Arabidopsis thaliana: one gene and its partner. The protein of the gene in region 2 interacts with the protein of the main gene of each other region in a biochemical or structural test. Each region holds a gene or a part of one and is shown on either strand. Other genes may lie near its edges.

Region 1 (4,785 bases), on a different chromosome or scaffold from region 2:
ATTTTTGGCAATCGAATTCGACTTCGTGATAGAGATATGCACCAACAACTAAAAGATGACCTAGTTGAGCATATATGACAAAAGTTTGGTGCATTATCAAATGAAGAGTAAAACCATAATAGATAATATAGTTAGTTTTGATTTATGTTATCATGGTTTTATATGTAATTTCTGTGTAATTTATATATTTTTTCTATTTAATTTATGTTATCATGGTTTTATATGGAATTTTATGTTTAATTGATATATTTTTTATTATGATTTTATATGTAAAGTAATGTTTAATTATGTTTAATTATGTTTAATTATGGTTTTAAAAATAATAAAACTATTTAATAATATAATTGTAAAAATAATAATTGATATGTTTGAAAATATTGTAGAGATTTTAAATTTAATATAAAAAACATATAATAATATGTTAATGTTAATGAGATACTCATAAGAGTATTTCACCAATGGAAGCACAATTTTAGTATAAGTTTCTCTACTTAAATTAAAATATTAATAATATATTATGAGGTACTCATGGAGTATCTCACCAATGGAGATGCTCTTACGCATATGCTGACGAGAGACGAGAGAAGAGACGTTCGCTAAATCTTTTGCTTTCTCGCCACTACGTCCAGAGTCTCTCTCTGGTTCAGAAGACTCGAAATGGGTTAAACACGTATTCTCTCATTCTCCGTAGTTAATTAATTTAGTGAAACGGTAAAAACAAAATGGTAAAAAATTGGCGGTCGTTATTTTGTAGCGGTAAAGAAAATAGTGAGTTAGACTATTTACAAGTTAACTGTTTGAATTAAAAGTTGAAAGTGATTTGGAAAAAGATGTTGTAGAATTTCTTCAACACCGTTAATTTTGTGAATAAAATCCTTGTACACATATAGTCTTAGAAAATTTGGAAAAAGGTTTGATAAATGTAACTTAGATGCTGCTTGGATTATAAAAAGTAAGCTTTATGGATACGGACTTGAGTTCCCAAGATCATTTAGGTTCAATCTGATTTTGAGGTTTATATAAGAAGCTTCATTTAAACCGTTGAGTGTTTGAGCTATATGAAACTTCAAAAAAATGTCATTCGTTTAAATACCATCAAGAAGAATGTGAATCAACTTTTCTTTTTGGATGAAAACTAGTTTTTTGATATGGTAACTATGTTTTCAACACAACAAAATTTTATCGTCGAATGTCCGAAATGATAAAGACACTCTTAACCTTCATCGGAAAAAATAGCAATTTTTTGTGGTATATCAATAGCGGTTACAATCTAACTTGTTTTGTTGTTGTTATTATGATTAGAACTGTCAATTGGGTGGACCGCATGTGGGTTTTTACAGTCCAAATACACACGGACGGATTATGGTCTGGACTCCAAACTAAAAAACATAAACCAAGCAATCAAAAAGTTAGAATAAGATATTTTTTAGTTAAAACAAAAATCGTAAGTGAAGAAGGTCTGAATTTCTTGAGGAAGATAAACGGGCACAAAACCGGTGTACATACATGGATTATGGATATGTTCTAGAGGAAAGGTATAATTGAATACTAGTATCCGTTACAGAAACTAATTGCATTAAGTTTCGTCTACTGTTTAAGACCGCACGAGATATATATGTTAGACCGACTTTGGGAAAGAGGCTACTTAAATTATTTACGATTAATAATGCCAACGTAACGCGGACAGACATTTTAATTCAATTATTATTTGTTGCCTGCGAGATTCGAACCATCTCTTATTTCATTACTTAACCCAAACCAAAAAAATAAAAAGTTCATTTCGAAAGAAGAAGAAGAAAACATCAAATCATGAGTGGGCAAGAGAATCATGATCATGGCCGGATCTCTTCTACGCCCGCCGCCGCGTCGGAGCCTTCCAAGGCTGCTGCTCACTCCTCTGACTACGCTCCTTACCCTAAGCTCGATCCTACCGACGTCACTCCTCCTCCTCCTCAGCCTATTCCCACCGGTGCCGCCGCAACCACCATGCCAGCGGAATCCAATCCTTACGTTTCTCCTTCCCCTGCCCCAAGGAGTGAGTTCTTCTTCTCTCTATCCGATTTCGCATCCTAATCCAATTTCTGCCTTTGATTGATTGATTGATCTTGGTTTGGGGACAGATACGATGGATTCGGTGAAGGATACGTTAGGGAAATGGGGGAAAATGGCTGCCGACGCCACCAAGAAGGCGGAGGATCTCGCCGGAAATTTTTGGCAGCACTGTAAGCGCTTCTTCTTCTTCTTCTTCTTCCCCCTCGATTAGATGAATTACCAATTAATCTGATTACCGTCTCTTGGAGAATACGATGGTATTGGTTATGCCCCTTCTGGTTAAGTTAGTGTTCATCAATTGGCGCTTCTTCGGAATTTTACTTCGCGTTCAACCACCGACACTAAATCTAGCCAACAATTTTGATATTCATGCTCTTCCGTTTGAGTTTAAGCCAATTAGTTCTTTGTATCTGGTTATTGCCTTTGACTCTTGAAGCTTCTCTAGTATAGGTTGTTTTGGCTTTATTTCTCCGCTTGTGTGATGAATTAGTATTATATACATATGGTTGGAGGGAGGGATGATATTTTATATGAATTGAGACTTGAGAGTATACGTTTTGATATCTATCCTTTCTTTTTCAGTGAAAACAGGCCCAAGTGTAGCAGATGCTGCTGTTTCACGAATTGCTCAGGGGACAAAAATACTTGCAGAGGGTGGATACGAGAAGGTCTTCAAGCAAACATTTGATTGCCTTCCTGATGAAAAACTTCTCAAGACCTATGCTTGCTACTTGTCTACATCTGCTGGTCCTGTCCTGGGAGTTATGTATCTTTCGACTCACAAGCTTGCGTTCTCTAGTGACAATCCTCTCTCTTACAAAGAGGGTGAGCAGACCCTGTGGAGCTATTACAAGGTATACTCGCTCTCTATCCTATGGTTACTTTTTCTTTCTAACTCTTTTATTTTATATCTATTTACATCTAAGAAAACTATTTGAGAACAAAGATTCAGCGAATGTAATATTTGATGGTGACATGATAAAGCGTTAAGTGAGTTAAGTCATTTTCAATGCATCTATTTACATAGATTCATAGACTATAACAAATTTTCTTGTCATTTCTAGTTATTGACGTATAGAACGTAGTGTGTGTACGCTTATAGTAAATGGAAACTACATAATCATTCTAACGATATTGTTGAGTAGTTGCATGTTAGTTCCTATGTAGACAATTAGGACTTTAGTGGTTTGCCTAAGAGAGTAAGCTAAATCTTGTAGCATTCTTGATAAAACTAGGGGAGCCATTGAATAATTGTTAGTTTGAGAGTTTGGACTGGTTCTAATGTAAACATCTAACATGAGCTGAAATCCTATTAAACCAAGCAGAAAGCTTCTTGACAACATGATCTTTGGAAAACTGATTTTAAGATTTGGGTGGTTCTTGAGAACCTTTTTTCGTTCCTTGAGAACCTTGCACTTGCAGTCTATTTTCTGTCATTCTTCCTTGTAAAGTCTGTGGCTGATGATTTTGATGTGATGATCAGGTGGTACTTCCGGCGAATCAGCTGAAGGCAGTGAACCCATCAACAAGTAGAGTGAACACATCTGATAAATACATACAAGTGATTTCCATCGACAACCACGAGTTCTGGTTTATGGGGTTTGTGACTTATGAAAGCGCTGTGAAGAGCCTTCAAGAAGCGGTGCAGTCACATGGTCCGTGAAGGTCCACTGGTATAAATGGCAGCTCTTAGTGATATTGTGCATTAATATATGGAACAGTGTGTTTTAGTATTTGATACCATTTCAATGTGTTCTACATTTTGTCCTCTTGGCGTTTACTCATAAACATTGCTTTTGTTCATTTCCTTTTGTATAAAATTATTTCTTATTTTTTTTGAGGGAACCTTGTCCTTTAGATCTAACATTCATGATTTGTATTCGTGTTCTAAGTTGGATTCGGTCTTTGGTTTTTGATGAGTTTAGGATTTTAAAGGTGATCAAGTTGGGCGCTATAGACAAAACCAGCATTTAGAAAGCCCAATATATCACCGATGGGCCTTTGAAAAGAGCCCAAATCGATAATAAGCATGCATGGGAGAATTGGTGACACGGGCTCATTACAACACTTTCATCATAGAAGATCCTATGTTTAATGTGTTTAAAACAAATCTGGTATGAGTTTTGGAAGATAGTAACATTGAGTATATATGTGGAAACAAATCTAAATGGTGGGGTTTGTGCAATCGCCTAAATTGTTTTTTACTTGCATTCGTTATATGCAAATATCTAAATGATTAAAACCAAAACCAAAAATATCTAATATGATATATTAAAATATTAAGCTTCATTGTATCATTCTTACGAAGTGACCAACTTTAGAAGTTAGCGAATTGTCTGTCATTAAGCCTATTGCTCCTTGTCGTCTTATTCTTTGCTCACCAACGAGCTACGTCCTTTGAATTTCTTATTAAAGTTGTTAGCATATAAACTATGACTAGTGCCCATCAAATTTGAAGATTTAGCATTTGGACTCTTCTTGTGTTAACTGAACATGGTCAGTCTTACAATATCTATATATTCAATGGTTATCGAGTGATTGTGTCATGAAATGTTAATATAGTTGGATCTTTTAAAAAAAAATGTAAATATAGTTGAACCATATACATCCGTTGAAAACAACAACAGCAAAAACTGATAGCTCTGAACCATCTTTGTAAGAGTGTGTTTGCGACTACGGGAGTCTTGATATCAAACCGAAACCACCCTATATATGAAAAAGCTTCATAAAACC
Region 2 (4,945 bases):
TTTTCGTAATTAGAACTCTCTAAATAAACATCGGTCGCACTAATAATGTCGTAGTCACGTATAGCTTCTCACACAAAATCACACCACTATCTATATTTAGAGAGTTTTTTTTTTGTTTTGGCAAAGTATTTAGAGAGTTTATGATCTCTAAATTTTTAATTGTTTATGATCTCTTCTTGTTTTTGAGAGAAGCACCAAAATTCAATTGTCGAACACGTACATTATTGTTTCGAATATCGTAATATAAAACAATATTTTCACAATATGGTTCAGGTCAGATCGAGATAGATTAGATTATCCGAATTTTATTCTCCATACAGACAATCAATTATTCGAATCTTGATTTTTTTGTTCCAAGTATAATAAAGGTAACGTCACATCAGAAATCTATTTATTTCCCAAACACTAATTGCACAAAAAGCAAAGTAAAACCACTGTGATACAAATTCTATAAAGATAAAAAAAGTTTATGCTCAATTAAATAACGTAAAGAAAACTATATTGACAAATAAAGACAACAACGACGGAAATAAACAACTAAAAACCACTTTCTTTGATTTCACACAATTTTAGTGAGTCAAAACGCTGTGCTGAAGTAGCTACTCACCACATTCTCACACAGAATTTGGAGAACCTTAGCATTACTTGGCTTCACACATCTTGGCATCTTAAACTGTCCAGCCGATGAACCAAGCCCGAGAAAATGTTCTTGAATCTTCCGGAAAGTTCCTTTTGCGACAACTCTCAGCTCCAAGGCTCCAATAGTCTTGCATTTCCGGGAACTAACGTAACCCGCATCGATGAATGCTCGGTCTAAACAGTTGCAGCAATCTTGAAGAACGTCTTCGTTTGTTTCTCCTGAAATCTCCCAGAAGATAGCGTAATGTCCTGGATCTGTCGAGACATCGATGTAGCTAGAGAAGTCTATGACCTCGATCTTTTCTTCTGAGAGTCTCTTTGCAGCCGATTCTACTGAAAGCTGAAGGTCTCTTTCGGTGTTCTTGTCGATGTTGATCGAGAGAATCAGGTTTCTCCTGCATATGAATTTTAGTTGGGGAGTGTTGTTGTAGAAACCAATGACCTTTACCACATCTCCAAGCCGGTATCGATACAACCCTGTGCAATGTGGATCAAATGAGAATTATAAGCATCCATTACGAGACCGATACTACGCTAATTCCAGCCTTAAAACAACGGTAATACCTGCGTAATTTGTGATGACAACTTCATACTCTTCTCCAATCTTGACTTGAGTTAAACCAACCGGTTTCTCCTCTCCTTCCCCTGTTTCAGATACAGGGAGAAACTCGAAATAACCGAGATTCGGAATCACAGCAAATGTAGCTTCCTCTGGAGATAACCTTGGGGTAACATTAGCAGCAATCCATCCTTCCGAGCTACCGTAGTCATGGCTCACAAGAGGTAGATCACCCGCGTAATGTCTCAGCTTTGGCACATACGGCTCCATGGAGCCAGTCATGATCCCGTAAACATACTTTGCGTTGGGGAAGAGCGCGGGAATCAATCCGTACCAGTTGCTCAAACTCATACATTTGGTGCGGATCGTCTCAGCTAGCTCAGGGTTAGGTGTGAGCAGCTTCGACATTGCAGTACGGACCGATGGGACAGTAATACGGTTGCTTAAGACACCATCTTTGATATCGGTAACAATCTCTTCCCAAACCTGTTCAAAGGTTCTAAAAGCGTGAACTAGACCGTGAGCAAAGACGGCAAAGACGTATTGAACTTGATCTCTGAAGAGAATTCCGGATAAGAGATGGCAATACAAGGCTTGATGGACATCAGGACTAAAGATAACTTCGTCGGGACTACAGGAAGGAGACGTTATAGATTTCATCCCAGCTTTGAAGTTAGGGTTGCGGTACACGTTTGTGGTTGCGGTTCCAACCGGGACACCTCCCGTTGATATGTACTGCTTGCTGCTGAAGATAAATTGCAAAGCTTTGCCATTGTCATCAATGGGAAAATCTCTGTACAAGAAGAAAAACATCACATGTTAAGGCATAGTCGGTGGTAAGTAACAACATCACTAGTTTCTCTGTTCATGTCAATGGATGGAACAGAGAAAAGTGTGAAATGTGTGTGGGGGAAACATAAACACAAATTTAAACTATACCTGTTTCTGAAGGCAAAAGCAGTGCGAAACAGTTGCAATGTGTTCTCCATTAATTCATCAGTGAAAGGAATAAACTTTGGACGGCCTTGACTAGTTCCAGAGCTGATGATCAAAAACACACACACTGAGAAACAGAATCATCAATGATAAAGCAAAAAGAGGAAGTTACCTTAAGGAAATGGCAGGAACAGGGTGACCAGTGAGAATAGGTGAAGTGTCACCATCAACCATTCTTTTGATGTAAGGCTCTAATTCAACATCAGTGACTAAAGGAACCATAGATTTGAAAGCTTCTTCAGGGTCAGTAGCGTTTCCATTGAGACCACAGTTTTGTAAGTAAATGGCGGATTGGTTCTTGAGAAGAATCTCTTTCAAAGTTTGTTTCTGGACTTGATGAGCGTTTCTAGTCATTTCATCGAATTCATCAATGACTCTGTTCATGTCGAAAGTTTCAACCTTCTCCAACATCCTGAAGTAGATAAAAAGAAAAGAGTGATCAGATTCTGACAGATTTGAAAACAGAGAATATAAGGGAAGGTATAAACTTAAAAGCTCTTTTATGTTTCAGAGCATCCATAAAGGGAAAGTTTTTAAAAATTCTTATCAGAGAGATCTTTTTGCAGATTTTTTTTTTTATAAAAAAAAGTTGTGAAAACGGTTTTCGAGAATCGAAAATTAAGGAAGGATGGATCAAGAAATCGAAGGGTTTTGAGAGGAACCCAATAGTTGTGGAGAGGTAACAATCAGACCCAAATCGGAATCTATGAGATTGAACAAGTAAAGATGAGAACTTTTTTGGAATCTATCTGAAGAAAAAGTCAACGAGGTCGGAACCGGAGTAATTGGAAGTGTGTTTTACCCGATCAGACGAAACGGATTACTGAGAGATATGAAAATGATCAGCTTTAGTATCTAGATTAAGGAGTGAGAAAGAGAGAGTACCTGCGCTAGTTGCTGCGAGCTCTGTAGAGGATAGAGAGAGAGAGAGAAAAAAGGAGTGAGAGAAAGTTGAGTGAATTTGGAAAGTCAAGAGAAAGAAGCTGTCTTATTTTATAGACACAAAAATTGGACGGAGCAGCAAAAATGTAGAAGGCGAAAGATTAGTGGAAGCCGTTACTTGTATCTCTCTATCTTCTCTTTTTCTTTCTCCGACGGGATCTCTGATTTTTTCTTTTATTTTCTTCTTTTTGTATTCTTAGTTTATTTTTTCATCTTCACATGAGTGTTTGGGTCCAATCTGTAAAAGAGTGTAATATCTTCTTGGAATTAGGACCATTCTTAGATAATGCCCATTTTTACTTGGTTCCTCTCTGCCAAAACTTTAGTTTATTTAAAAGGACCAATCCAAAACAATCGCATGTGGATTACTTTTTTTTTTAACCATGTTTTAGTGTTTTAAAATATTCATTATGATCGATGCATAAAACAATACCGTAAGTTTAGTTTACGAAAAGCCAACTTGTGTTAGGAATATTATTTCTTTAATTCTTGAGTAATTTGGGTTCATGATATTAGTAGTAGATATACATATAGACAACATCATTTTTTGTTAACTAAGAATTTTCATGCGGCTAGTCTTCTAGTTTATTCAGACGAGGATCATAACATGTTAACTTAGTCACCTCTCTGTCATCGTTGTCTATATCATTATATATGGTCATTGCGTTAATGATGTAATACTAGGAAATACATCAGAAATCAACTATTCATCTCTAACAAAAGACCTATATATAATTCTAAGACTACAATCACTTAAATTTAACAAAATACGTTGTTTTTATACCACCTGTTATGATTTAATTTATAATGACCTGCGTTTGATTAATTCAAACTTGCTAAAGAAATAATATTTGATAGCTTCTTATATTTGGCTGTGTAGTTTGTAACAAAATTTGGAACAAACATATTTGTATATATCAAATATATATACAAATATGAGATATCACAATATATGGTTAACAATTCTTCATATCAGTTGCTTGCACATCTTTACATTAGTCATTTAAACGATTCTCAAAGTCTGTGAGGTTCATAAGATTTTTGGAATTAGGTTCATAAGATTTTTGGTTAACAATTCTGTTTCATCCATCTTCTCGTGCACAAAACAAATTAAGTTCAACAATCCCTTTTCTATTGCAGGGTTTAGGGTTTCGTTTCGGAAACGCATATTAGTCATCACAACTAACTTTTTTGTTTACAAGAATAAACTCTCATTTTAATGAAGCTGATCAACATAAGTTAAGTTACAAAAACATACGATTAATCTAATGATCTGATTGTATAAAAAAACAAAACATAGTTGATTTCCTTGAAGAAGAAAAAAAAACTATGTAAGAAACATTTGATTTTTATTGATGATTCTTGTTTTTCATTATATAGTTTCTTCAATTCATACATTTTCATTCGTCAATTTCATGCCTACTTTATATCGAGAAAATCATGAACTGATTGAAATCTGTGGAAAAGCTCCTTTTAGAGAAGTTAACATTTTCAATTTTTTTTGTTGACTGAAGAAGCTATAAATTGTATACATGCATGACAAGTCAACATAAATCACATATTCCTCCATGCTCATCATAAATGTTTTGAGCTTAAGAAACAATGGTACCATGACACATGCATACACAATTTTATTATTGACTGCTGATATTATTATTTTTGGCCTAATTAATTATTTTGATGTCATCCATTTTGGTTATCGTTTATACTAGCTAGTTGTAAAATAACTAAGAAAAACGATTGTGTGTGGAAATTAATTTAATATTCTAACTTTAATTTCGGACTAAAAAAAACTTAAATTTAACTAAT

The links. The genes of interacting proteins can lie anywhere in the genome.
Region 1: the proteins of JAR1 (region 2) and FIP1 form a complex in vitro, tested with the Arabidopsis thaliana proteins (one study listed by BioGRID).

What each region holds. Positions count from the first base shown.
Region 1 is NC_003070.9:9,849,325-9,854,109, reverse strand, and holds FIP1 (FH interacting protein 1), read left to right. Parts: upstream 1-1,660; 5' UTR 1,661-1,809; coding exon 1,810-2,035; intron 2,036-2,120; coding exon 2,121-2,222; intron 2,223-2,634; coding exon 2,635-2,906; intron 2,907-3,535; coding exon 3,536-3,715; 3' UTR 3,716-3,725; exon of another isoform or gene 3,726-3,977; 3' UTR 3,978-4,266; downstream 4,267-4,785.
Region 2 is NC_003071.7:19,032,002-19,036,946, reverse strand, and holds JAR1 (Auxin-responsive GH3 family protein), read right to left. Parts: upstream 3,207-4,945; 5' UTR 2,715-3,206; coding exon 2,683-2,714; intron 2,607-2,682; coding exon 2,307-2,606; intron 2,240-2,306; coding exon 2,138-2,239; intron 1,992-2,137; coding exon 1,204-1,991; intron 1,117-1,203; coding exon 578-1,116; 3' UTR 502-577; downstream 1-501. UniProt on the Arabidopsis thaliana protein: Catalyzes the synthesis of jasmonates-amino acid conjugates by adenylation; can use Ile and, in vitro at least, Val, Leu and Phe as conjugating amino acids on jasmonic acid (JA) and 9,10-dihydro-JA substrates, and to a lower extent, on 3-oxo-2-(2Z-pentenyl)-cyclopentane-1-butyric acid (OPC-4) and 12-hydroxy-JA (12-OH-JA).